7 linked regions of the Danio rerio genome follow. The protein of the gene in region 1 interacts with the protein of each later gene in a pairwise test. Links are inferred from orthologs where the notes say so. Each region holds a gene or a part of one and is shown in the gene's direction. Other genes may lie near its edges. The genes, in order: htt, hoxc4a, crmp1, ostf1, trafd1, tcerg1a and gapdh.

The links.
Region 2: the proteins of htt (region 1) and hoxc4a interact in binary tests that used the Homo sapiens proteins (3 or more experiments, as listed by UniProt). The link is inferred for Danio rerio from reciprocal best matches to the Homo sapiens genes HTT and HOXC4.
Region 3: the proteins of htt (region 1) and crmp1 interact in binary tests that used the Homo sapiens proteins (3 or more experiments, as listed by UniProt). The link is inferred for Danio rerio from reciprocal best matches to the Homo sapiens genes HTT and CRMP1.
Region 4: the proteins of htt (region 1) and ostf1 interact in binary tests that used the Homo sapiens proteins (3 or more experiments, as listed by UniProt). The link is inferred for Danio rerio from reciprocal best matches to the Homo sapiens genes HTT and OSTF1.
Region 5: the proteins of htt (region 1) and trafd1 interact in binary tests that used the Homo sapiens proteins (3 or more experiments, as listed by UniProt). The link is inferred for Danio rerio from reciprocal best matches to the Homo sapiens genes HTT and TRAFD1.
Region 6: the proteins of htt (region 1) and tcerg1a interact in binary tests that used the Homo sapiens proteins (3 or more experiments, as listed by UniProt). The link is inferred for Danio rerio from reciprocal best matches to the Homo sapiens genes HTT and TCERG1.
Region 7: the proteins of htt (region 1) and gapdh interact in binary tests that used the Homo sapiens proteins (3 or more experiments, as listed by UniProt). The link is inferred for Danio rerio from reciprocal best matches to the Homo sapiens genes HTT and GAPDH.

What each region holds. Positions count from the first base shown.
Region 1 is NC_133176.1:44,384,649-44,388,148, reverse strand, and holds part of htt (huntingtin), read left to right. Parts: intron 1-338; coding exon 339-499; intron 500-2,256; exon of another isoform or gene 2,257-2,337; coding exon 2,338-2,551; 3' UTR 2,552-3,500.
Region 2 is NC_133198.1:39,234,219-39,237,909, forward strand, and holds hoxc4a (homeobox protein Hox-C4a), read left to right. Parts: upstream 1-1,201; 5' UTR 1,202-1,209; coding exon 1,210-1,642; intron 1,643-2,162; coding exon 2,163-2,536; 3' UTR 2,537-3,191; downstream 3,192-3,691. UniProt on the Homo sapiens protein: Sequence-specific transcription factor which is part of a developmental regulatory system that provides cells with specific positional identities on the anterior-posterior axis.
Region 3 is NC_133176.1:15,740,466-15,743,965, forward strand, and holds part of crmp1 (dihydropyrimidinase-related protein 1), read left to right. Parts: intron 1-820; coding exon 821-977; intron 978-3,451; coding exon 3,452-3,500.
Region 4 is NC_133180.1:7,429,989-7,433,488, reverse strand, and holds part of ostf1 (osteoclast-stimulating factor 1), read left to right. Parts: intron 1-1,916; coding exon 1,917-1,963; intron 1,964-2,045; coding exon 2,046-2,096; intron 2,097-2,239; coding exon 2,240-2,303; intron 2,304-3,500.
Region 5 is NC_133180.1:29,388,727-29,392,226, forward strand, and holds part of trafd1 (TRAF-type zinc finger domain-containing protein 1), read left to right. Parts: intron 1-373; coding exon 374-427; intron 428-509; coding exon 510-933; exon of another isoform or gene 934-2,874; intron 2,875-3,500. UniProt on the Homo sapiens protein: Negative feedback regulator that controls excessive innate immune responses. Regulates both Toll-like receptor 4 (TLR4) and DDX58/RIG1-like helicases (RLH) pathways.
Region 6 is NC_133189.1:58,551,654-58,555,153, forward strand, and holds part of tcerg1a (transcription elongation regulator 1a), read left to right. Parts: intron 1-121; coding exon 122-335; intron 336-472; coding exon 473-661; intron 662-1,130; coding exon 1,131-1,398; intron 1,399-1,865; coding exon 1,866-2,102; intron 2,103-3,500. UniProt on the Homo sapiens protein: Transcription factor that binds RNA polymerase II and inhibits the elongation of transcripts from target promoters. Regulates transcription elongation in a TATA box-dependent manner.
Region 7 is NC_133191.1:17,266,832-17,270,907, reverse strand, and holds the start of gapdh (glyceraldehyde-3-phosphate dehydrogenase), read left to right. Parts: upstream 1-1,276; 5' UTR 1,277-1,319; intron 1,320-1,704; 5' UTR 1,705-1,727; coding exon 1,728-1,750; intron 1,751-3,482; coding exon 3,483-3,582; intron 3,583-3,665; coding exon 3,666-3,772; intron 3,773-3,891; coding exon 3,892-3,982; intron 3,983-4,061; coding exon 4,062-4,076. UniProt on the Homo sapiens protein: Has both glyceraldehyde-3-phosphate dehydrogenase and nitrosylase activities, thereby playing a role in glycolysis and nuclear functions, respectively.

The sequences.
Region 1 (3,500 bases):
CAAATTACACATTTGATCAGTTCCCTGGGAATCAAACTGTGACTAGTTGAGCTACAAGAAGTCAGTGTAGCCAAAGTTAATGCTTAAACAATATAAATGTTTGGTGAATAAATAAATAATTATTGTATTCAGGCAGTTGTCACGGAAATATTCTTTAATTATAACTCGATAAAAAATTCAACTATAAATTGGAATAAATGTGACAATAAATATGACAAAAAAACTCCACTAGAATTACTAAAACTTTAAAAGTAAAATGAAAACAAAATAAAAATTCAACTATTAATAAAAGCTAAAATAGTCGCTGGATGATACTGAAATTGTACTTCTTACTACAGGTGTTTCAGACGCTTCATGCCACTGGTCAGTCCTCCATGGTCCGGGATTGGGTCCTGCTCTCACTGTCCAATTTCACACAGAGAACGCCTGTCGCCATGGCCATGTGGAGCCTGTCCTGTTTCTTTGTCAGTGCCTCGACCAGCCAGTGGATCTCTGCCCTGTATCCTTAAACAAATTATCTTTTGATTGCTGTAATTGATGCACCCCTTAGTGTGTAAATCTGTTTTGAAATTACATTACAACATTGTTTTTTAAACAAAGGTTTACTGAAGATATTGTCTTTATATGAATTCAGTTGTAAACTAAATTCTTGACCTATTACAGCTAATGCTGTAAAGCAGGGGTGTCAAACTCAGTTCCAAAAGGGCTGAAGCCCTGCACAGTTTAGTTCCAACCCTGCTCCAACACACTTACCTGTAGGTTTCAAACAAGCCTGAAGGACTCAATTAGTTTTATCAGGTGTGTTTAATTAGGGTTGGAACTAAACTGTGCAGAGCTGCAGCCCTTTAGGAACTGAGTTTGACACCTGTGCTGTAAAGTATAGATGAAGCTGCACTATTATTTTTTACATTAATATAATGATAAAGGGAATTAATAACAAAGGCCATATTAATCAATTATTTACTTTTATATTTGAATAAAATAAACACTCTGCAAACTGTTTTATGCTAACAGGTAAATTGCTCAAAAGGCAGTTTTTACATTTAAATCTAATTATAAAATAGAAGTTGTACTTTTTTTTTTACACATTATTCCATATGTCTTCAAAGTTATACATCTAATAACTATGGCATCAATAACAGTAATAAAGCCTTATTAACAAATAGGCTAATAGAGTTAAAAAAAATTTGAGAGATGTGCATTTTTTTACTCTATAATTAGTAGTGAGGAAGTAATGATTGACTTGCATTCTGCTGCCATTTGTAAATCGGGCATCAATATAGCGATCTGACATGCCACATCAAAGCATGTCAAAACAGTATTTATTGTTTGATTGTCCCTAATAAATTTGACAGAATTGAAAAGATTCTAAAGTAAAGCATCAAAATTAACAAAACAAGGCTTTTTGCACTTTTAGGACAGGAGGTGTGTCCTAGGGTGCTTTCACACCTAGACTTTAGTTTCAGAACCTGGTGCGTTTCCCCAGTTAGCATAATTCGTTTGGCATATTTGAACCCAGTAATAGCGCTCGGATCCTCGCCAAAACAATCGCCTGAATGGGGTGGTTTTGGCTCGATTGAAACGAACTCTGGAGAGGATCAATTGTAGTGAGAAAGCAATACGATCCAACGGACTAATAAACCAGGAAATATCTCAGTGTATTATGGTTATGTAATAAGCATATACGGCTATATGAAGAGAGCATTATGAGTAGGGCAGGATGTCATCATTTATACCAGTTTATGTGCGTTTCATGTCAATTATGAAAGTGAAAGCATGCTGAACTATTAATGAGAGCAGTTTATCCATTAGAAAAATTAACTCAACTGCAGTCTTGGTTTATCTGTTATTTCTCTCTAGAATATAAAGCCTGTAATGCATAATTTTAGCCAACGGCTATGTATTAGAAAATCTACATTTATATTTGGTGTATGTTTGTGGGTGTCACCGTTCCAAATTAAACCGCAGCTTTTTGCTTATAATGTCTTATTGTTTATTGTCACAGATTAAATAAGGACGCATGACAGCTAAGTGAGAGAGTTTACTTGCACGTGACTTGCTATTTTGGTCCTTTTAGAAACTTTGCAGAGTGAAAGCGAACCATACCATGAACAAAGTGCAACATTGTAACAATTTTATTCTCTGTTTCGGAACAAAACCGTCAATCTACAGGTGTGAAATAGCATTAAACATGCATATGATACCCAAAAAGCCTGCACCAAAAATGTATGAATTAATCTACTGTTACACCCCTACCTTGCACTGGTAACAGCACACTTCATGCTTTTCCATTTCCTCTTCCTCCACGTTTTCCTTAACTTGTTTCTTCCGCTGTAGCCTGCCTCATGTCATCAGCCGCATGGGGAAATCTGACACGGTGGACATTAGCCTCTTTTGCTTGGTCGCTATGGACTTCTACCGACATCAGATCGATGAGGAGTTAGACCGCAGGGCCTTCCAGTCTGTCTTTGAGATGGTGGCTTCCCCTGGTAGTCCGTATTACCAACTACTGTGCTGTTTGCAGAGCATTCACCAAGACACGTCTCTATAGAACAGACCAAAAAAAAAAAAAAAGATCAGTAGGATCACCATGGCAAATTAAGCATCAAAATGAAGGTAATATAACACCCAAGCAGAAGACATACACTCACCAGGATGCATGACAGACTTTGGATTGGATTTACAGAGTGGAATCGGTTGCTATGATACTCTCCGAGATTGCTCCAAATAGTTCATAGTTATTAGAGACAGTGGGACCAATCCAAGCAAAACTGCACTTTCACTAGTCTGTGGCCACAACGCACCAATGAACATCATTTATCTGTAATTAAAAATATAAGAAAAGCAGCACTACATTCAGAATATTCAACTGCTATCACAGTATGTGCACCTGGCCACTGAAGCGTTTTTCCTGAGCTGAGTTAAGTACAGGATAGGCATGCAATGAGTGTATGTTTTACGCTCATTGTTTTTCAAAACTTTCAACAGTCAGAGAAGCGATGGGCGTTTTTAGAACATCGCTCGTGTTTCTGCAGCACAAAAACGCTTCTGTGGACATGCGTCCCAAGTCATTCACACAGTCTATATGGATGTTTTAAGTGTATAAATTCTCTTCATGTGGTAGCAGAGAATGTTAAACTGTGGCTAAACTGCAGAGTCTCCATCTTTAGAAATGTAATGCAGTGAATTTTCAGCTGTAACCAATCTGATTAAAGAAGATATTGACATTTCTTAAAAACATCATACAGACGCTAGTTAAAAGTGTCCTGCGCTTTTGGACTTCCGCAGATACAGCATTAGATACTTTAGTCCTCAGAAATAGAGTAACTCCATGTTACTTGTCATCCGATTTCGCTAAGATCAGTACAACAGCCATTTCTGCCCTACTGTCTACACTTCCAGGACCCTCAGTTTGAAGTCATTCCTTTTGCATGGGCGACACATTGCTTTGCTCTGCGTTTGCTGACACTTGAAGTGAAAAAGGATTGTAAATTGAATTT
Region 2 (3,691 bases), on another chromosome or scaffold:
GACCAACTATTTGAAATGCCAGACAGAAATATTCCCAATAATATTATTTAGCAATGTTTAAGATAAAGGTCACATGCTAACCGGACATAACCTTAATTTCGTTGTATTCCGTTTTTTAAATTTTCCAGTAAAAGAAGGGCCTGTCAGTAGTCGTCTATATGTACCCTGTAGAACCGAATTTGTGTCCAAAACATCAAAATCGCAAATACGTCTCTACAGGAATACATGGGCGACGTAAAAGCCACGAACGCCAAGTTGGGTTTGTATTCGTCCGTCTGAGGCACGTGACTTTGCATGAAAGTCGTGTGTGGTGCTTACCATAATAAATAGAAAAGTTTAAATGAGCAGAATTGCTCAAGAAATTAATGAAAATACTAAGCCAAAATTAGACAGGACGTAAAATTCATAATATGCTGTATGTCACCCATTTTTAAAGATTATTCTTAAGCTTTTGTAGCTTAATTAAACAACGTATCTACCACCACATGCATTTATCATGTATAGTCGTATTTATCGTAATTATAAACTGTATCAATGAAAAGTAATGCAGATTTTCTATGTTCTAAAAATAAATAAAAATAAGAAATGGAGATCATGCAAAATGAGTCACTGAATTTGGAAATTTGCTGTTCCCTTGCATAGAAGCGAATACTGATAGTACTGCAGATATTTGCCTACACGATATAGTATTATAAAAGCATTGGATAATGTAGTGTAATTATTGGCAGTAGATTTTAATACCTTCGATTCGTCCTATAAGTTTAAGAATGATTGCTTTTTTAATATTATTGTCGTTTATATTATATAAATAAATTTATTTATTAAATTGTATAAATAGTTAAACTCTTACAGGTAAGTTAACTAAGAAATATCCCTGGATGCTTTGGCTTGATCCGAGAAGATTTCTCCATTGTGTATGCGGTAGTGGGAAAGTGAAAAGGGGGAGAGCGAGGGAGAGAGAAAAAGAGAGAGAGTGAGAAAGAGAGAGAGAGGAATAGACAGACTGGGAGACTCCGCGGACAATGGCGGAAAATTGAAGGTATATTTGCGAAAGCTGTGGTTCCTTATCCGGGAACTACATCGCCCCATGCCATTGGGCCATCGAATCACGTGGTAAAAGTAACTTTACAGGGTTGCTCGCTAGTAGGAGGGCTTTATGGAGCAGAAAAACGACAAAGCTAGAAAAATTATTTTCCACTCCAGAAATTAATGATCATGAGCTCGTATTTGATGGACTCTAACTACATCGATCCGAAATTTCCTCCTTGCGAGGAATATTCGCAAAATAGCTACATTCCCGAACATAGCCCAGAATATTACAGCCGTGCAAGGGACAGTGGCTACCAGCATCACCACCAGGAGTTATACCCTCCGCGGGCAAGCTACCAGGAGCGTCAGTATAACTGTGCAAGCATCCCTGAGCCTGATACTCAAAGAGGACATGGACTGCCTCACGCGGGGCACCTGCTTGGAAAAGGGCAATCAGCCTCATGTGAGCCCCCACCGTTACCCCTGTCTCCTGCCACCCCTTCGGCTGCATCTTCCGCCTGCAATCAAGCCACCCCGGAGCATCCCAACAGCTCAGCCTCTGCCAAACAACCCGTAGTGTACCCATGGATGAAGAAAATTCACGTCAGCACCGGTAGGCAACTTGAGTGTATTTCTCTTAAGCACTATAAAGCTCGCCCCTCATCCTAACTCTCTCTCTCCGTCTGCCTCACTCCTTTTTACACTCATCCCCTGGCCAGCCTCTGCTACGATAGGATAGAAGCCTTTGAAATGGCACAATTGAGGCGGATTTACGACTAGGCATTGGTAATTACACCCACCATAAATTTTATAGCCGAGGTATACTCTGGGCAGTCGTATCACCATGTGGCTTCTCTTGTTATGAGTGTGCGAGAGAGTGAGGGAGATCTGGGACCAGAGAAAAACTAAGCTTTATAATGTTGCATTAATAATTCAGTGCTGAGTCCAATGTGATTTTAGCCTTATTACAGAAAGCTAACTTTTAGATGTTTTAGCCCACCCTCATTTCCTCTGTCGCCACCATTTCTCAATGAAAGACACGCTTGTTTACCCTATCCTTCCCTCGCTGCTTCTTTTCTTTTTCTATTCTATTCTGTTCTTTCTTTCTTTCCCTTTGCTTCTCCTCTTTCCAGTCAACTCTAGTTACAATGGAGCGGAACCCAAGCGGTCTAGAACTGCTTACACTCGCCAGCAAGTCTTAGAATTGGAGAAGGAATTCCACTATAATCGCTACTTAACACGGCGAAGACGTATCGAGATTGCTCATTCCTTGGTCCTCTCGGAGAGGCAAATCAAAATTTGGTTTCAGAACCGAAGGATGAAGTGGAAAAAAGACCATAGGCTGCCAAACACCAAAGTCAGATCCTCGTCCTCCACGGGCATTTCCTCCGGGTCCAACACAAGCTCAGCGGCTGGCGTTGTGGCGGCAGCTTCCACCACTAACACCATGTCAGCATCCGAGGACCTCTCCGGAACCGAGCGTGGCGAGGATATTACAAGGTTATAAGAGAACTATTTCGAGGAGAGAAAGCAAGATCAAATGACTGATTATTTATAAAATATAATATATTTTGTTTTCGTAGGTATCTTGTGCGTAAAGGGGGTTCCTTTAAGTCCACAGTTATATAAAATGCATGTTATATAGCATGGATTATTGCGAATACCTATGGATTATTTTTTACGCGACACAGGGTTTAATTTATCTAAAACTGAATCAATATGATGTTTGTTTTTGTTATATGTTTTTTCAAGAGAAATGTTTAGGGCGAAGCAGGTTATGGACATTTTATTCAAATGTTATTCGTGGGCCTTTTTGCCCAGCTGCCAAGGTGAAGTGCACAACGAATCTATTTATTTCTCACTTGAGAGAGCTGGTACGTTTTTCTTTTTTGCACTGTAAATGAAAAATGCTATCGTGAGTATCGATAGAAAAAAGATCTTAAAGGTTTTTTTTTTTGTTGTTGTTGGTTTTATTTAAAAGTAAATCATGCTGTGGGTTATCTGTCGTATGGAAAGGTTAAGATTTTTAAATTATCATTTAGTTTTTGTTGTGATGGCGTTGTGTTTAGGCTATTAACAGCAGATTGTTGTGAGATGCAATAAAACCAGTTTAGTGTATTTGTGCTAATTATATTGGTCAATAAAACGTAAGTGTCTATTAGTTTAACCTAGACTTGGGTGACTTTTATTAATATGCTTAAAGATTACACTTCCGCGAATAATTGGCGATCACTTTTTTCTCTGTAATTGTTAAAAGATGATGCAGATACTTTCCGGTTAATGTATATCTTTTTAAATAGACAAATGTAGGCCCAAATGTAAAAACAATGTGATGTTTTAAATAATCTACGCCAGTTGTGTCGAGTGTGTGTGCTGCATGCTTTATTGCAGAAAACTAATTAGCCATTTAATTTCTGCCATAGCATTTCTAATACATGCAACGCAGCCTCATGTTTGGTTTGTGTATGGGTTAGACTAGCTTGGGTTGTGTACTACCCATCACATTACTACGTATTCGATTAATGTGGCACCCAGTTCTGGCCTTTTCGTTTAGGGACCTTACCGCTTTCTATTGTAGAGATTTCTTGCTATTATTTACTTCTCTCAACATGGCTAAAATGTTTCTGACGACCCATTCCAGTATTCAAAAGGCTCATTTTAA
Region 3 (3,500 bases), about 29 Mb from region 1:
GCCTTATATATAGCTCCAAATAGTGTTTACCATGCTACTCTAAATATTCGCTCTGAAATAGCATGTAAGTATGGCTTAGTAAGAAGTCCTGTACACCGCCGGCCAAACAATAAGCATTCAGTAGTTGCTTCAGGACAGCGCGTGAGAGAGTGAGTGATCCTTGCATGCATGAAATATTGCACATTGACAAGTTTTGCTTGCTACACAACTGAAAATGTGCTAGATATAATACAGTTTTGTTCAGAATTGTAGTATTATAAAGGACTATAAAGTTTTCTAACTGGTGAATGACATGATCTAGTGGGCCTCTGTCATCTTTGATGAGCATGTTCGTGATTCCAGGAGGTGTGGCTGGAATGGCAGGGGAGGGAATGGGTTTCAAACATTATGCTAACCGGTTAGCATTTAGGCACCTTTAATTTTGACACATTTCTTTTTTTTTAATAAGAAAGTAATTTGCCCTTATGTAGAAAATGCTTCTTGATTTAAGAATTTTTAGATAATATAATATATATTCGGTGTATAATACATAATAATACATATATATATGTATAATTATATATATATATATTATATATATATAATTAATTTCTTGATATAATTAATTAATATCTGTAGTTAATGAATTGTAACAATGATGTTTTCTCTGACCTACAGTCTGCTTCTGTAGAATCAGTCTATTCTGTTCACACTCATTTAAGTTAAATCAATGTGACATCTTACTAGACAATTGCAGTATCTAGCAAAACTCTATTTTAAAAGACTTACACACCCCAACCGTTAAGTTTTGGATGTATTCTCTTCACTGCACCGGCTTTAGGCTCTGTTGTTTTCGGTGAGCCAATCACAGCCAGCTTGGCAACAGACGGATCTCACTATTGGAGCAAAAACTGGGCAAAAGCGGCAGCGTATGTGACCTCTCCACCCCTCAGCCCTGACCCGACCACACCAGAGCATCTTCACTCTCTGCTGGCCTGGTAAGAACATTTGGACTTATTTCAATCATTGTGATAGATGCAGCATAACACCGGATCCTTTGGATGAAGGCCACGACTGACATCATTCAGCAATTTTCTATCTACTCTCTCGATTACTTCAATGCAACACCCAAACCAAAACCACAGGCACACCTTTTCCTGCCCCCGTTTCTAAAAATAGAACAGGCTTTCATCGCTTGTTACCATGGTTACACAGCACCCTCCTTCTCGCTCCCCACCACACACACACACACACACACACACACACACACACACACACACATAACTTGTGGACTTGCAGGCTGCTACTATGGGAGAAATGTCATTATGCTGACATCCACAGCCACACAGAGGCAGACTGACACAGCTGGAGAGAGGACATTTATTTTTAGCATAGACAGATTAGCGGAGCCCAAAGATTAGTGAAAATGCCTGAATATTTCTAGAAAAGAATGTTCATTTATTGTTAAACATATGTATACTGTGAAGACAAACTTTAGTTGTGCTGTATTACTGTGAAAAGTGCTAAACAAGTCAACTTGAATTATATTGTGTAGATGTGCACTGTTGCAAAGAAAATTTCATTTCTGGATGATTTTTTCTTTATTTTATCATTAAAATGGTATTATTAACCAAATTGTTGCATATTATGTCTTATATTTTAGTAAGTTAAATTGTTTAAGCTGATAAATTGAAATTATTTTAAAAGATTGGTAATTTAATGGTTAGCCTACATGACTGTAACTCGATTCAGATTGCTCAGTAAATACATCTATTGTATCTGTCGTTGGTGGAAATATCTTAAAAATAAATACAGTGCTCAGCATAATTGAGTACAGCCCATTTTGAAAATGAACATTTTTCTCCATTTCTCAGTAAATATAGGCAATGTATTTTGGTGCATTTGAACAAAACAGATTTGTTAAACAGATAAATTTATTAACATAATATTTAGCCGCCAAACTTATTTAAAAATGGGAAGATAATACAATTAAATTTAGGCAAAATATTGCAAAAATAAATGACAAACTACACAATTTCAACTAAATTAAAAAAAAAATTTGCTTCTCTTAATTTTTCCTCTTTTGTAAATTTGTATTTAATATTTTCTATCACATTTGAACCATTATTATAAGTTATTATAATGTTAGATAAGCTGCTGATTTGGCTTCAGTACTGACTAATCTAATGTATATGCCCAAATATAATATTGTATAGTCTCCTATTAAAATATGAATTTAAAAGATAGATTTGTGAGGGGTGTACTCATATATGCTAAGCACTGTATGTTCTGTCTCCAAAATAATAGCAAAGCTGGTAAATCAAAGGATAGATGAGATGTTCGTTGTCATTTTTGTAATATTCATCCAATATTTAATCAATCTAGGATTGCAATAAATTGTTAGCAGTGCAATTATGATTACATTTTATTTGATGAAAAAGTACTTAATGTAATGTATTCATAATAATATATTAATATTTATAATTTAATTAAACTTAATAATTCAATAAAGCCTTATAATAATTATACTAATAATTCGGCAAGAACATAAGGTGACAGTAGACCTTTTATGTTGTGAAAGATTCACATTTAAATGAAATTATCCTTTTCAAACCATTCATCAGAGAGCTTGTTCACATGAATACATTTCATCTAAAAATATAGTAAAATAAAGAAATTTTAATAGTGTTTTACAATATTAATTTTACAGTATTTATGATCAAATAAATGCAGTCTAAAAAATGTCTCTAAACATAATGTATATTTCCATGACCATGACATGTTATGCAGCCTCAAATATAAAAAATAGGTCACAAACAAAAAATCATCTAGCTCTGGAAGACCCCATAAATACCCTTGTATTAATGAAGCGTGTTAGAATATTTTTTTCTTTGTTATTTATTTCTAAATCCAAGTTTTTTTTTTTTTTTTTTTAAAGAAATGAACTCATTATACTCAGCAAAGCGTGACCAGAAATATTTTTTCAGAAGATTTAACATATATTAGTAATGTTAAATTTATGTATTCCAACTTATGTATTCAGTTATGTATTCATTTGTTTGTGGTTTTTAATTGTATATTTTTAATTAAATGTTTTTGCATTGCAAATAGCAGTTGTGGCTAACATGTCATAAACTATGATAGGATGATACATGACATCTTATGATATGATATATGATATGATATATGCTATGATATGATATATAATATAGTATGATACGATATGATATATTTCTGAATAAAACAGCATTTCGAACTAGAAAAAATATAATGGCTTGCTATTGGTGGATCTCATAGTGACAAGTTGTCCTGCTCTCTCATCACTAATCACTCACTCAGCCAACTGTGTTCAGAGATAGCAAGATAACACATGATGTTTCACAAACTATGGACGTTCACAAATAAATGGTTTATAATAAATACTGCAGGATTGCAAAAAATAAAAACTGTGACCTAAATGTTGTTTTTGCAGTGGGGATCTGCAGGTTGTGGGCAGTGGACATTGTGCATACAGCACTTCT
Region 4 (3,500 bases), on another chromosome or scaffold:
TGGTTTAGGCACAAGCCAACAGTTTGGTGACGCTGTCTGAGCCTTCATAATTTTTAAAAATATGCAGGGTAATACCGGATACCGAGGTAAAATAGGGAGGAGGTTTGACGGTATCAGAGTTTGGATACCGCCCAAGCCTACATTCCATTAGGGTTGTCTTGATACTGGAATTCGATACCAATCAAACATTGAAGCGTTTTAAAGTCACGTAAATCAGCTGGTTTGTCTATAAGCTAACATATGAGCGATCCGCTAAAGAATCACGCCTTTAAAATCCAGTGTGCCGGTATCTGTGGTTACACCAAAGAGCATAGAATCACCAAGTGGCGACACTGTTGTTGTTTGGGAAACAGCCACTAGGTGCCACTAGTGTCCATTTGTGTCCAGCGGTGGCCATTTTGGAATGAAAATTCCAATAGAACAGCAGCATATTACATGTCTGTAAAATAAACTATTAAAAGTGCTGATGATTGTGATAGTAAGTGTTTTATTGTCGTATTTCAGGCTGAATCTCAGCTTTAATGTGCTTTTTAAATAAATACATAAATAAATAAATAAATAAATAAACAAAAAACAAAGCAGCTGCTTGCCATTGTGACAGCAATGAGATACAATGGACAACCGATCGCTTTCACTCCAAAATGGTGCAATCACAGGGCTGCTGCTGGGTACTGCTGTTGCAATGGAATGTTCTATTAAGTGTCGCTTCTTGGTCATTCTAAGCTCTTTGGTTACACTCAGTAAACAGCGGTGAGTTTGGTGAAACAATGACCTTCACGGCCAATCACAGTCATTTCTGTTGAGCATGTGAACACAATGGCAAATCAGCGCTGTTTAAGATCCACACGCCCAAATGTTTGCGGGACATAGACGCTTTTAAACTTTTTGTACCGATTGATATCGAATTGCAGTATCGAGACAACCCTGTATTCCATACAAAATATGAAGCTGACTGGTCAGATCTTGTCACTTGACTCACGGTGTGCACGTGGCATTCTTTCAACTAGGAGTGCCTGGAAAGTGTGTGTGTTGCGTGCCTCTATTGGTAATAACGAACTTGTGCGCACAAAACACTGGATATGTGAACGGCCCTTCAGCATTTAATCCAGTGTGTGTGGGTATTGTGTACAAGCTTATAACTTTACACTCGTGCACAGCTGGCATAAATTTTAGTGGCAGCAGTTTTGTTCTGTGCAGAAATGCCTTTATGATTAATTAACCGTGACTAATTAAAGTACGGTTAATAGTGAAACCAGTTAATCGTTGCTTCCCTAATGGGGTGTACTCACTTATGTAGAGCACTGTATATGTTTTTCCTAATATGGAATGGGTTTTTTTCCAGCATAATTAAAATACATTAGTTTTTGGGTGAACTATCCCTTTACAGGTTTCAAACGGTCATGGAAAACCACGAAAAGTCATGGAATTTTGACATGACATTTTTCAGGCCTGGAAAAGTTTTGGAAAAACAATAAAACCCATGAAGATTTGGAAAAGTTGTGGAAATTTGTTTAACAAATATCTGTTTATTTGAATATAGGCTAGTCTTTGTCATTGGCCAATTCCATGGTCTTACATTATCAGTGCTGTGTAAGCAATATCTAAATAAATTTTACATAGACATAAATGTTAATTTAAACCAAGTAGATGGGGCTTTATTCTGCTGTGGCGAACCCTGATAAATCAGGGACTAATCCTAAAGAATGAACGACTAAAATACTAAATGAATAAATTAAATTTACTTTAAAGTGTTGGAAATGTCATGGAATTTTGGTAGTAAAAATGTGTATGAACCATGCCTTAACAGGTAGATTATTTCGTCTTTTATGACCAAAACACAGGTCACTGGGCCTGAAATGTGAATTAATTGCTTTAATCATCAGTCATGATCTGTTATTTATCTGTGTTTTAAACAGGTCAGGTCAAGGTGTACCGGGCTTTATTCACCTTTGACCCAAGGACGGTGAGTTCATCTTTTTTTCTGCTTGATTGAACATTGTTTGTTTCAGTTCGTCTGATTTGTGATTTGTTTTCCTCTTTTTCAGCCGGATGAACTGTACTTTGAGGAAGGTGATATTCTGTATATCTCAGATACGGTAAGTTTATGATCTGATACTTCATGAAGTTATGAAGTACTGTTACTTCCTCTTGTCATGATGGAGATAAACAGCATTATATTCATCAGAATTTGTAGCAGTGTTTGTGAATTTGTATTGACTGCTGGGTTTATTTTGTTTAGAGTGACAGTAACTGGTGGAAAGGGACATGCCGGGGAAGGACTGGTCTTATTCCTAGCAATTACGGTAAGAAAAGCAAACTACAGTAGTCAACTTTTAAAGTGGATCAAAACCTTTACATCAAAGTCGTCTTAAAACTATTTAACAACATCCATTCTGACCTTAGGAGACTTTTGAAAAACTTTTTTGATCCACATGAAATGTTGATTACAGTAGATCCTGCTAACCATCAACCCTTTAAACGTAATGCTTTAGTGAATGAGATGACTTTTGGGAAATGTAAGGGATAATTCACCTGAAAAATAAAAAGTTAATTTAGGGTCTATTCACTCCAGGAAAGTTTGTTAGTTCACTTGCTTTGGTCATGACCAAATTTTGAATTAGTTTATTTTTTCATTATTTGATGCGGTTCGCTTTCATACTGCCTAGAATGAACCAGAAATTGTAAACAAAACCACATTTGTGCTAAAGACAGCCATTTGTACGCTTATTTCATGCGGCCGCCATTTTACAAAGAAAAAGCAAGGCTGCAGTGGGAAGAAACCTGGAAGTATTGGATGCTGGGGTAAGCATCAGTAATATCATCCAGTTAAGTTTAATTTAAACAATTAAAAGCATATTGGGTATCAAACAACACCATAATCTCTTTAAAGTGCCATGAAATCCCTGTCTCAGCAGGATGTTTTCATGCCTCTAGTTTGGAAAAAGTCAGGAAAGTTGGTGTGTCCAGCTCTGTTTAGGTGGGAGTGTTGGGGGAGGGAAAGAGGTTAAGATTTTGCATAAAAATGGGAGTTTCTGTTTGGGCACGTGCGGATTTTCACAGAGGCAAAACAAACACACAGACGCAGGAGAGAAAGACAGTGACTGAGTTTACATGGACATCAGTAGTCAAATTATTTGCCAAATAATTAATTTGTTGACTTTAACTGCAGTTTGGCACTTTCACTTTCATTCAGGAACATTTCATGCATGCCCTTCGTAACAAACGTGATATGGGATGCGAGTAAGAACTGCTGGAAGAGTGTAGCTTTGATGGAATGTTTGATACCACACGTCAAATGAGAGAAGAAAAAAATAATCTGCATTTCCCGGTAACTTAAATGTACTCGGTAACATATCGTCAGAAAGCTGTGTGTAAACTGTAACTATCAAACTAATGTGACGTCACGTTGTACTCGCCGGTACAGACATCCAGCCCTGTGCAGAGACTATCTAAGGGGCATGTGCAGGATAAAATTTCTGAAGAGCGGGGGCAATTCAGAT
Region 5 (3,500 bases), on another chromosome or scaffold:
AATGAGTTTCCTTCTTCTGTTAAACACAAAATAAGATATTTTAAAAAACTGAAAACCTGTATCTATTGACTTCTATTTTATTTTGGACAAAAATATACTACAGAATTCAATGGCTACAGGTTTCCAGCTTTATTATTTATAATTTTATTATATTTATTATATTTATAACAAGAATAAAAAATAAAGGTTTAAAACAAGTAAACCCAGTAAATGATTGCATAATTTGAGTGAACTATCCCTTTAAGGTTTCTAATTTTGACAAGTACTTTATGACTTGTTTCAAATAGCATGATATTAATATTGTTAACCATATTTAAAACGTTTTCCTTTATTATAGGTTGCTAATTACCAATCTTATCCTCTCTTTTTACAGGAACAGTGCAAATGTGGATTAAAAATAGAAAAAAGGTTCTTGGAGACCCACCAGGTACCATTGTGCATTATGAACAGCTATTCTTATGTTTTCATTAATGACTTCTGTAGATTTAACAACTTCTTGTTCCTCTCAGAGGTCAGAATGCAGTCATCGACTGGTCCCATGTCAGTTCTGTGATCTAGAGCTGGCCTCCTTTCAAGCTAAAGAGCATGAGGAGTACTGCGGGACCCGCACCGAGCCCTGTCCCGTCTGCAAGTGCAATGTTATGCTGAGAGAACAACACATCCATCCAGCCCTGTGCGGAAGTCTGACTCCACCTGAGGAGAGGCACAGTAGTAGGGCAGGGCCCCAGTCTCCTGGAGCATGGTTTGAGACACATTCCATCCATAACCTATTGAGGGCCCAGGAAAGGAGCCATAATAACAACAACACCGGGGCAGCAGACCGCAGAGGCCCACCACGACCCATTGAGGACAGACTGCATAACAGTACCAGAGGAACAGTGAGAGGAGGAACCAGGAGAAACACAGAAACGAGGAACAATGAATTTGCTTATTGTATGTATTATTCATCTTGTTTTATTAATTATTTAGAAACAACATTTAGAGTAAAATTCATGATATATTGGTTATCTGCATATACTAGACTCTATCTTAATCTATAGCTTTAATTGTGTATGCTTATTTCTGCCATATCAGTTTTTCATAGCAAAGTTGCCACAGAACAACTTCTGAACTCACAACCTGATGTCTTTTATACAGCCATGGGTTGCGGAAATGCTATTAAACATAATTGCATGCTGTTATACTAGGTACTAAGGTGGGTCAAAGCAAATGCCTTGCTTTTTATGCTGCATTGTGCCTGTATAAAGAATTTTAGGATGCCACAGAGCAGCCTTAATTTTCCTACAAAAAAGCCATACATCTGCTTTAACTGCTTTGCAGACTTTTTTTTTATCCAGAGCAACTTACAAATGAGGAAAATAGAAGCATTAAGACCAACAATATGTAGTTGCTGTGACAAGTCTCAGTTAGTCAAGCACAGCATTTTAACACAAAATTTGAATGAATGAACGGAATTAGAAAATAATGTGAAAATTGCGAGATCCAGCTGCTTGGGTCAAGTTAGGCTGGTCATTCCACCAGCAGAGAACAGTTAAGGTAAAAGTGATTTTATGGCTCTTTGGCTGGCACCTCATGAGCAGAATAGAAGCTTCTGCAGTAGACAGAGGTCTGAAGTAGTGAATTTAGTTAAAAGGTATCACAGCCAGTTGTTGTATTATAAGCAAACGTCAATGGCTTAATGTGACGTTTATGAGTGCCAGTTGGCAACTAGTGCAAACTGATGAACAGAGCTATGACCTGCAGTCTTTTCTTTAACTTCCACTCTTGCTGCCACATTTTAAATCAGTTGACAATAATGACTAAAAGGACTGCCAGGAGTGCATTACAATAATCCAGTCTGGACAGAACAAGAGCTTAAGCAAGGAGTTGAGTCGCATGCTCCAGAAGATCTCTCCAAAGCACAAATTATCCATCATCGACAAGCTATCCCTGTACCCAGGGCGCATCCCCTGCACTTAGTCAATGTCATTGTGAGCATTTATACTTCTGCTTTCTGTCAGCGTTACATTGCAATAACACTTCTGAAATTTAGTTGGCAGTTTGGTTTCTATGCTCCACTGTGTGAAGTTTCTTTGCCGGCGTTTACTCTGGAAATGCGTGGGATGCTGCTACTATAACAATGGTTAAAACTCACACTCATTGTGGGAAGAAAGTGGCGAGAACCAGCATTTGTTTAAAAACTTCATTCACAAAATAATCAAAACAAAAAGTATCCATTTTTATCTCCTACGTTACAGCAAAGACTATAGAACACACAAGCCATGTCACTCACATCTTTTTGAATAGGGTAAAGTGTAATAGTCACTATAGTGAATAAAGTCCACCTTCTAGTACAGTAGCCAATTATCGATCGCTATATGACGGATAAAACCCACCTTCTTGTACAGGAGCCAATCATCGATCACTATAGACTGAAGATATTCCGGGGGAGGGGTTTGGACCAGACGTGAATTTCTGCAGATTTTATGTGATTAGACGTTTAGAAATGAAACTAAAGAGACGGATGTTGTTTAATTTTATTGGTGATTTCTAATATGAAATTCAATGGTAAGCTTGGCAAGCAGTTTTGGAGAATTTGATGTTTCTCCATTCAGACAGAATGCACAAGCATACTGCTCGAGAAGAGTTTCAAAGATGGCTGCCGAGTGAAATACCTTGCCTTAAAGGGACTTTAGTCATAGTCACTCCACAGACTCTTTACAGAAACTGTTTAATGCCGCTCAGGTGGTGTAAATACTGTACGTTGTGAGAAAGTGAATAATTTGAAAGCTAATATTCTGAATATTGTGTAGGCAAAATGCAATAGCAGTTTATCCCTACAATAAACAATAGGTTTTGAATGCGTTTCAAACCTACACCAGAATATTATATGAAGTTTCATAAACTAATTTCGAGAGGAGCACGTGATATGATTGACTGCAGCCGGCCACTCATCTAAGCTCATTAGCTAGCCAATCCGAACGATCCAAACCCACTATAAATAACCTAGCTAAAATGTACACCCCTATCTTCGTTTTCCGAAGAAGCACAGAAGGACGGACACAGCTCCTCTTCAAATCCTCAAATCTTCATCTACCATACCATCGCCTGCGACATTAACTTCAACCTAGACCAACCTACTACAAATCAACAACGACAGCAACAACAAAACTCAAAAAATTCAACGGACACGCCATCATCAACTAAACAACAACATCATGGAAAGAGACGATACACCCGCTCCCCTAGGAACACCAGCACAAGGACAACAAGCCCCAACCGGAAACCAAACAAACACCGAAGCTCCCATAAGAGGCAGAAGACCCATCCGCTCTACAGTTTCAAGGACCCATCGCCGTACACAGTCTCCATCCCCCATAACCCCAAACCGCAACTTACCTTCTCCATCTTCATCATACGCATCTGCAAGATCCTCATCCCTCATCTCAAATAAAATGACAGTCGCCGAACTCCGTCAGACCATTACAAACGCCGGTATATCCATCCCCAACCGCTGCAAC
Region 6 (3,500 bases), on another chromosome or scaffold:
TTGTGTGATTAGTCCATATATTGGCCATTATAAATGGTTGTCAGGATATGAGCTGAGTTATGTGGTCATATGTGATTTCTGTCATTAAAGTGTGTGTGTGTGTGTGTGTGTGTGTGTTCAGCATGTCCCAGCAGGCCGCTCTGCGTTTCCCCCCGGCTGTCGCTCCTCCTGCTGCTCCGCCCGCCCGCCGCCAGCCTCTGCTGAGCAGCCCAGTGCCGCCCTACACCCTGATGAGGAGTCCTCCGCCTGCTGCACGCCCGCCCTTCACACGCCTGCCCTTTGACCCCAGCGTGCCCCCGCCCATGGGCACACCGCCGCTGCAGGTGCATTCACAGGTACAGCACGCTTGCTCACACTTGAGGCAGAGTAAATAGTGAGTAAATGTGTTGTTTGTGAGAAATATTCCTTTAATCTGTGATTCGGGATGGGAAGTGAGGTTCTGACTGACACTGTGGCTCTTCTGCTCCTGAAGAGACCCCCATTCATGCCTCCGCCCGGAGGATCCATGCCTCCTCCACCCGGCATGATCTTCCCTCCAGGAATTCCTCCGTCAGTGGCTCCTGCTCCAACTCCTGCTCCGGCTCTGGCTCCTGCTCCCGCTCCCACTCCTTTGGTCTCCACTGAGGAGATCTGGGTGGAGAACAAGAGTCCGGAAGGAAAGGTATGGCTGTGGGTCTGCTTCATTAAAGGCCCTGTCAATTTCTAGAGTACTCAGCTGACTCTGTTTTACTAGAACTTCTATGTTAAGCTGTTTTGACACTATCTACATTGTAAAAGCCCTATAGTAATAAAGATGAATGGCAAAGTTTAAATATGTGTGTTTTTTTAGGAAGATGTTATTAGTCTTTATTATATAGTATTAGTCTGTTAGTCTTCAGGATATCTATGTGGCAAACAGTGGCAAAATTCACATGTAGATGATACAAGCATCCACGTCTCTTTCACCTAAATGGATATATATATATATATAATTTATTTTTATATATATATTAGTTTCTAATAGAATCTGACCAATCAAATGCTCTCCAGTGTCTGCCATGCCCCGCCCCCTCTCACCTGCTGTTCATTTGATGCACTTGAGCACTATGAAAGTGTCAGTAACCCCCTGCTGGTGTGTATTATTCTTACAGGTGTATTATTATAACGCACGCACCCGAGAGTCATCCTGGACCAAGCCGGAGGGGGTGAAGGTGATCCAGCAGGCAGATCTGTGTCCGCTGATGATGAGCCAGGCGGCTGTGGCGGCGGCGGGTGGAGGATCCACAGCTCCGTCCGTCAGCATCCCAGCAGCATCAGCAGTCAGCGGCTCCACAAACACACTCGCGGCCCCCAGCGCCGGCCCCGCCGTGGTCCCCAGCATCACTGCAGCATCCCCTCTGCTGCCCACACCTGCCACAGGTCACCTTCTGATGAACATATCATGCTGTAATATAATAAACATACATGCGTAATGATATTAACAAATCACCCAACACTCCTTGATTTGTTTACTCGTATACTTTATATAGATTTATATGAAGTAATAAAACTGAATGTATTAAATCCATTTTAAAATGTGGTTGATATTATTAGCCCCCTTAAGAAACAGTTCTTTCTGACTATACTGTTGTCCAATGACTTTGCTAATTACCCTAGTGAAGCTTTTACATGTCACTTTAAGCTGAATGCTAGTGTCTTGAAGAATATCTTGTCTAATATTATGTGCTGTCATCATGGCAAGCACTAATGACATTAAATTATTAAAACTATTATCAAAGATTGTCCACTGAACAGGACTGTGAGTTTGTCTCTGTACCGCAGCATCACAGCAGTGTTTATTGTAGGTGTGCTGTGTTGAGTGTGTGTTCTTGTGTTTGCGTCTGCAGTTCCAGATGTGGTGGAGATGCCGTCAGTCGTGACCTCTGCCCCCAGTTCCATGCCAACCCCAATGCCAGCTGTCAATCAACCAACGGTCTCGGTCGCCATGACAACAGGACCACCCACTCTGCCTGTGGCGCTGTCCCACACCGTCCCGCAGCCGGCCACTACAATCCCAGGATTCCCTCCGGTGATGGTGCCGCCGTTCCGGGTGCCGCTGCCTGCCATGCCCATCCCACTGCCTGGTGCGTCTGACCTCGGACCGCTGCTGCTCTCTCTCTCTCTCCTGTCTGTCTCTCTGTCTTCTCTCACCATCTAAACTCATCTGTAGATTAACATGAGAGAGAAGCAGCCTCTGTCTTCATTTACTCTGTGATCAGTTGAGTCTTAAAGGGACAGTTCACCCAAACACGTCATTTCTGCTGTAGTTTATTTACTCTTTACTGATTTTAATCTGCGATACAACAAACATCATATCATAATAATGATGCATATCATCATACAGTACCAGTTCTGTAAATAATATAATAGTTATTTTCTTTATTATTGTTTTATTAAATTATATTCATTTACATATTAGTGCTGGGCACAGATTAATCGCAGTTAATCACATCCAAAAACACAGTTTGTTTTGACAGAGAAAAAAATATTTAACAAAGAAAAAACAATTCAAAGGAGGCGAATAATTCAGATTTCAGTGGTATATTGACCACATGTAAAGGACTATTTTATTTTTTATTTGTGTTTTAAAGTACTCAGAAAACTTCTCATTCATATGTGATCATATTTCTCACTTAATTCAGAACTTAATTTAATATTTATATTAAATATATGTATATTTACTATTAATCTAAAACACTTTTTTTTTTAAATGAATGATTACAGGTCCAGCATAAAAACAAAAATCTGTCTGAATAAAATGCAAACTCTCAAGACTGCAGCTTTCTCATGATGCAGTTATTTGTATATCGCACTCACGTAAATTATGACCTATTACTGTAAACAGTGTATATATGACGTAAATGATAGATAGCCCACGATGTTAATCAATAGAGCTTTTCTGCACATATCAGCATATTGCTCAGGCCCAATTCACACCTTTAAGTATTTCATCTGTTAAGCACAAAACAAGATAGTAAGAAAATGTGGTGCACCGGTAATCATTGACCTCCATAGTATTTGTTTTTCTACTATGGAAGTGAATGGTTTCAGCATTCTTCAGAATATCTTCTTTAGTGCTGAACAGAATACAGGAACTCATGAAGGTTTATGAGCACTTGAGGGAGAGTAAATGTTTGTGTGAACTGCCCCTTTACCTGCTGTGTTAGTGAGGCCTGTAGATGGCAGTGTTTTCATGCGGAGTGTTTCCAGGATCTCCTGGAGCTGTAGATGACGTATGTTTGTGTGTTTTCCAACACTCTGCTTGCTTATACGCTCTTCCAGGTGTAGCAATGATGCAGATAGTCAGCTGCCCCTATGTAAAGACTATCTCTCCTACCAAAAACGGTAATTCCCTCCCCGTTATGGCATGTTAGTAACTGTTGTGCATCTTTTCATTTATCTACAATTCATTCAGTCAGATCACCCACCTGCTATTGAAGATTGTAGTGAGCAACAGCTTGTTTTTAAAGTAATGATATATA
Region 7 (4,076 bases), on another chromosome or scaffold:
TACAAACCAACACTGAGTAAAAATAAGTCAAAACAAAGAAAGACTGCATTGTTACAAGTCATGTTTGCAACAAAAGTGGAGAGCTACTTTATAACATTGCACTGACAGCTAATCGCTATAATACATGGATCTTTTTTCAGTCTGTCCTCTGTGCAAGATCTAATAGTGTCTGTGTTAATTACTAGTACAAACCTGTGATTAATTACAGACAAAGGGATAAAAGTTAGCTGCATTTAACATAATTAAAACCAACATGAATGATGGATAACAGAAAGATTATAATGTGATTAATCAAAACTCAATATGCAAATTCATAAAACCATAAAGTCAGTATGCAAATTTGTAGTGTAATTAATCAAATTTGATAGAGCTATTAATGCACACTGTCACTCTCTAAACTCTTGTCACTTTTGATAATGTTTATGTTATGCTACAACCACTTTGGTTTTGCATTTGATTTACTTGCACAGATATGCACATGTGAAGGCTCAAAGAATCTGTGTAGGTACAAAGGCATTGGATTTCCTACTGATGCAAAGGATCGTGGGATGCAGGAATGCCTGAGTAAAAGGGAAGGGTCATGGTCTTTCCTGTAAATGTCACACACTCATGATGAGGGCGATTTGATCTCCTGCTTCATATGCACGGTCTGGGCTAGTTTTAGAAGGTCAGAGTGGACAGACCATCTCAAATATACATATAATACATACTAAATACATTTATTTAATAATTTATTTATTTTAGCCAGTGTACAAATTGCATAGGGTTACAAGCCTAAATTACTTCTGCCTGGTTTCCTTATACATAACCTGCAAACCATTTATTTCTCATAATGCACTACATATTACTGAAGTGCTTACAGAATCATGGCCATTTGAGAAAGCATAATTCTCGATCATAGTCATTGCTTCTTTCATAAAAAGTACAAAGGGAAACTTTGATATGTCACTAGTTATATAATATTTAATACTCTAGCAAAGCTTGGTTATCATCATCATCAGTCATATATGCCATCATCATCATCATCATCATCATTATTATTATTATTATTATTATTATTATTATTATTATTATTATTATTATTATTATTATTATTATTATTCAGTAGATGTAGTAGTTTCATTCACTGTACCCCAGTACGACCTTGACATTCTAAGGGGGCGTGGTACTTATAGCCTAAAGTCCAGGGGGCGTGGTACTTATAGCCTAAAGTCCAGGGGGCGTGGTCAATGCTATCGCACCAGATATAAATTATCCTCGTGTTCGTAATCAGTCCACTCACACCAAGTGTCAGGACGAACAGAGGCTTCTCACAAACGGTAAATTTAGTTATTTCATGTTTCAAATGCTTGAATTATTTAGTGTTTAATTATGTAGTCTTTGCTCAGATTGCGCTGGTGAAGCCTTTGCAAATGTTAGCAACTTTTAAATATATGTGCATGTTAATGGCATGGAGCAACATTTCTAATGAAAGCTGAGAGTTCATGCTCTTTAGAACTTCTAGCCTACATTTTCTGGCCAATTGGGAAATGCTTGAGTATGAATACAACAGGCTACTGTGAACTACAAATGTGTATGAACTTTTTGTTCACTCTCTATCTGTAGTTAGAGGTGTTGCAGTTTCACAACCTGTACTTTGTTCCCATAACGAAAGACGCCTATAATAACGTGTGAATTAATTACAACCTTTTGTTTTCCTTCCAGAGGACACAACCAAATCAGGCATAATGGTTAAAGTTGGTATTAACGGGTATGTACTCCATTTGATTCAAATATGAAAGAAATGAACATTAGGCTGCTTGCAACTTTTATTATTAATTGTTTTGAACAACAGGACATCAGTTTTATTTTATTATAAGCTTGTTTGTTAGTGTTTTGCTGTTAAATGCTTTCTGGAAGTTGTATTAAGTTTTGACTTTCTAATTGATTGTAATGAATGGTTGGAGGGGGTGTCACCTAAGCCAGCCAGTCAAACTGCTTTATTGGTGTTGTGCCATCGCTGTGTACATTGACGTCATCATGACGACAAATAATGGTAATTTTTATCTGTGTACTTGGCTTCTTTGCCTTGTATTTTACTCCAGGTTCAAAGTTTGCTTCGAGTCTGCATTTTACTTAGACCATGTTGTACAGGACTCTGGGTTCAAGAATCCAAGCTTGTGTGTTCTGCATTGAAAAACCCCCAGCACCAGCTGTGACCTTTTCAAAGCTTATTGGGTTGTGTAACAGGAAACTTGATCCTGAAGAGACCAGTACAGGACACATGCATATCGTTCATGTGCACACAACCTGAAACTTTAATGCTCATCCAGGACTGTGCTGTGAAGTTTAGGCACCCTAAATTACAGCACAAGTCTTTTGCGACTTAAAATATCCACCTTTAGATGGAAGTCTGTCTTTAGGCACTCAAAAGGTTATGACCCCAAGTTCACCCCAGTGGTGTCCTTAAGTAGCCTTGGTTCATTTTACAAGCAAGAAATTTATAATAGGCCTACTTTGCATTTTTGCCATGGGTTTATACAATCTAAAGTTATATGAAACTTCAATTATGCAAGTAATTTGACATGGTCTTCAGTTTATCAAATTAATAACTTTAAATACAAAATCCCTTTCTAAAGCCTGTTACAATGTCACTTGACTTTATGATTTGAACACTAATGGCACTGGACAAATGGTCAATCCACATTTGCTAAGAGCACTGGAAATTTTTACCTTTGCCCTGTTTCTCTATCTTTACAGACTTGATGCAAATGTTTTGAAAGTGTACCACTACCATATCAGTGTCTTATCAGTGCATGAAAGTATGTACTGTGATCATTATCGCAGTATCAATAGGCTGCTTTCTTTGACCTATTGATTGAATGTACAGCTGAGTGTTGCAATAAACAAAAAGGGAATTCTGGAACTCCTTGTGGGGTCAGTCCTTCTTTCTCTGCATTTTGTGCAGTGTTGTTGGATGTACTAAAATAGCTCACAATGGCAGCTGGAGGCCTATGGAATTTGTATCCTTGCCTGGAGGACATGCCTCTATGAAGCTGGGGCAAATATTTGTGGAGATCATTCATCCAAAAGCCCATTCTTCATGATCTAGCTCTTAATCTCCTGTAGCACATAGTTGACTTTCCCCAGAGTTTATTTATATTTTTGGTTTATTATTATTATTATTATTATTATTATTATTATTAATAATAATAATAATAATAATAATAATACTATTAATTACTTATTATTATTTATTATTATTATTTATTATTATTTTTTAAAATTAATTTATTTAACTGCTGTCTGCTCCCACTCTCCAATTGACCCAGAGTTACTGCGCTCACAAGGGCACAATGTTTGACTTTGTGCATGTTCAGAAATGGGTCCTTTCTGCCATCTAGTGGATAAGTTGCCTGACTGCGGTTGTTTTCTTTTTTTTTTCTTTTTTCTTTCTTAATGTGAGATGAAAGCAAGTGTTTATGAATGAGCTTTTTTTTCAGATTCGGTCGCATTGGCCGTCTGGTGACCCGTGCTGCTTTCTTGACCAAGAAAGTGGAGATCGTGGCCATCAATGACCCATTCATTGACCTTGATTACATGGCAAGTTCCTTAATTTTTTTTTTTTTTATTTAACTAGTTTTGGGGTTATTTTGAATATATTTATAGTGCTTGTTTCTTCACAGGTTTACATGTTCCAGTACGACTCCACCCATGGAAAGTACAAGGGTGAGGTTAAGGCAGAAGGCGGCAAACTGGTCATTGATGGTCATGCAATCACAGTCTATAGCGAGTGAGTGCGGTTCCTCCAAACTATGCATGGTTTTTATTATTATTATTATTATTATTATTATTATTATTATTATTATTTTTGCAAGCATTGGGCTATGCTCATGATCTCTGCCTAAACAGGAGGGACCCAGCCAACATTAAGTGGGGTGATGCAGGTGCTACTTATGTTGTGGAGTCTACTGGTGTCTTCACTACTATTGAGAAGGCTTCTGTACGTAATCATGGATGTTACATAAGCTGCCTGCAACAACAATTGTTTTTCTGTAACTGAAATTTTGCTCTCCTGGTAGGCTCACATTAAGGGT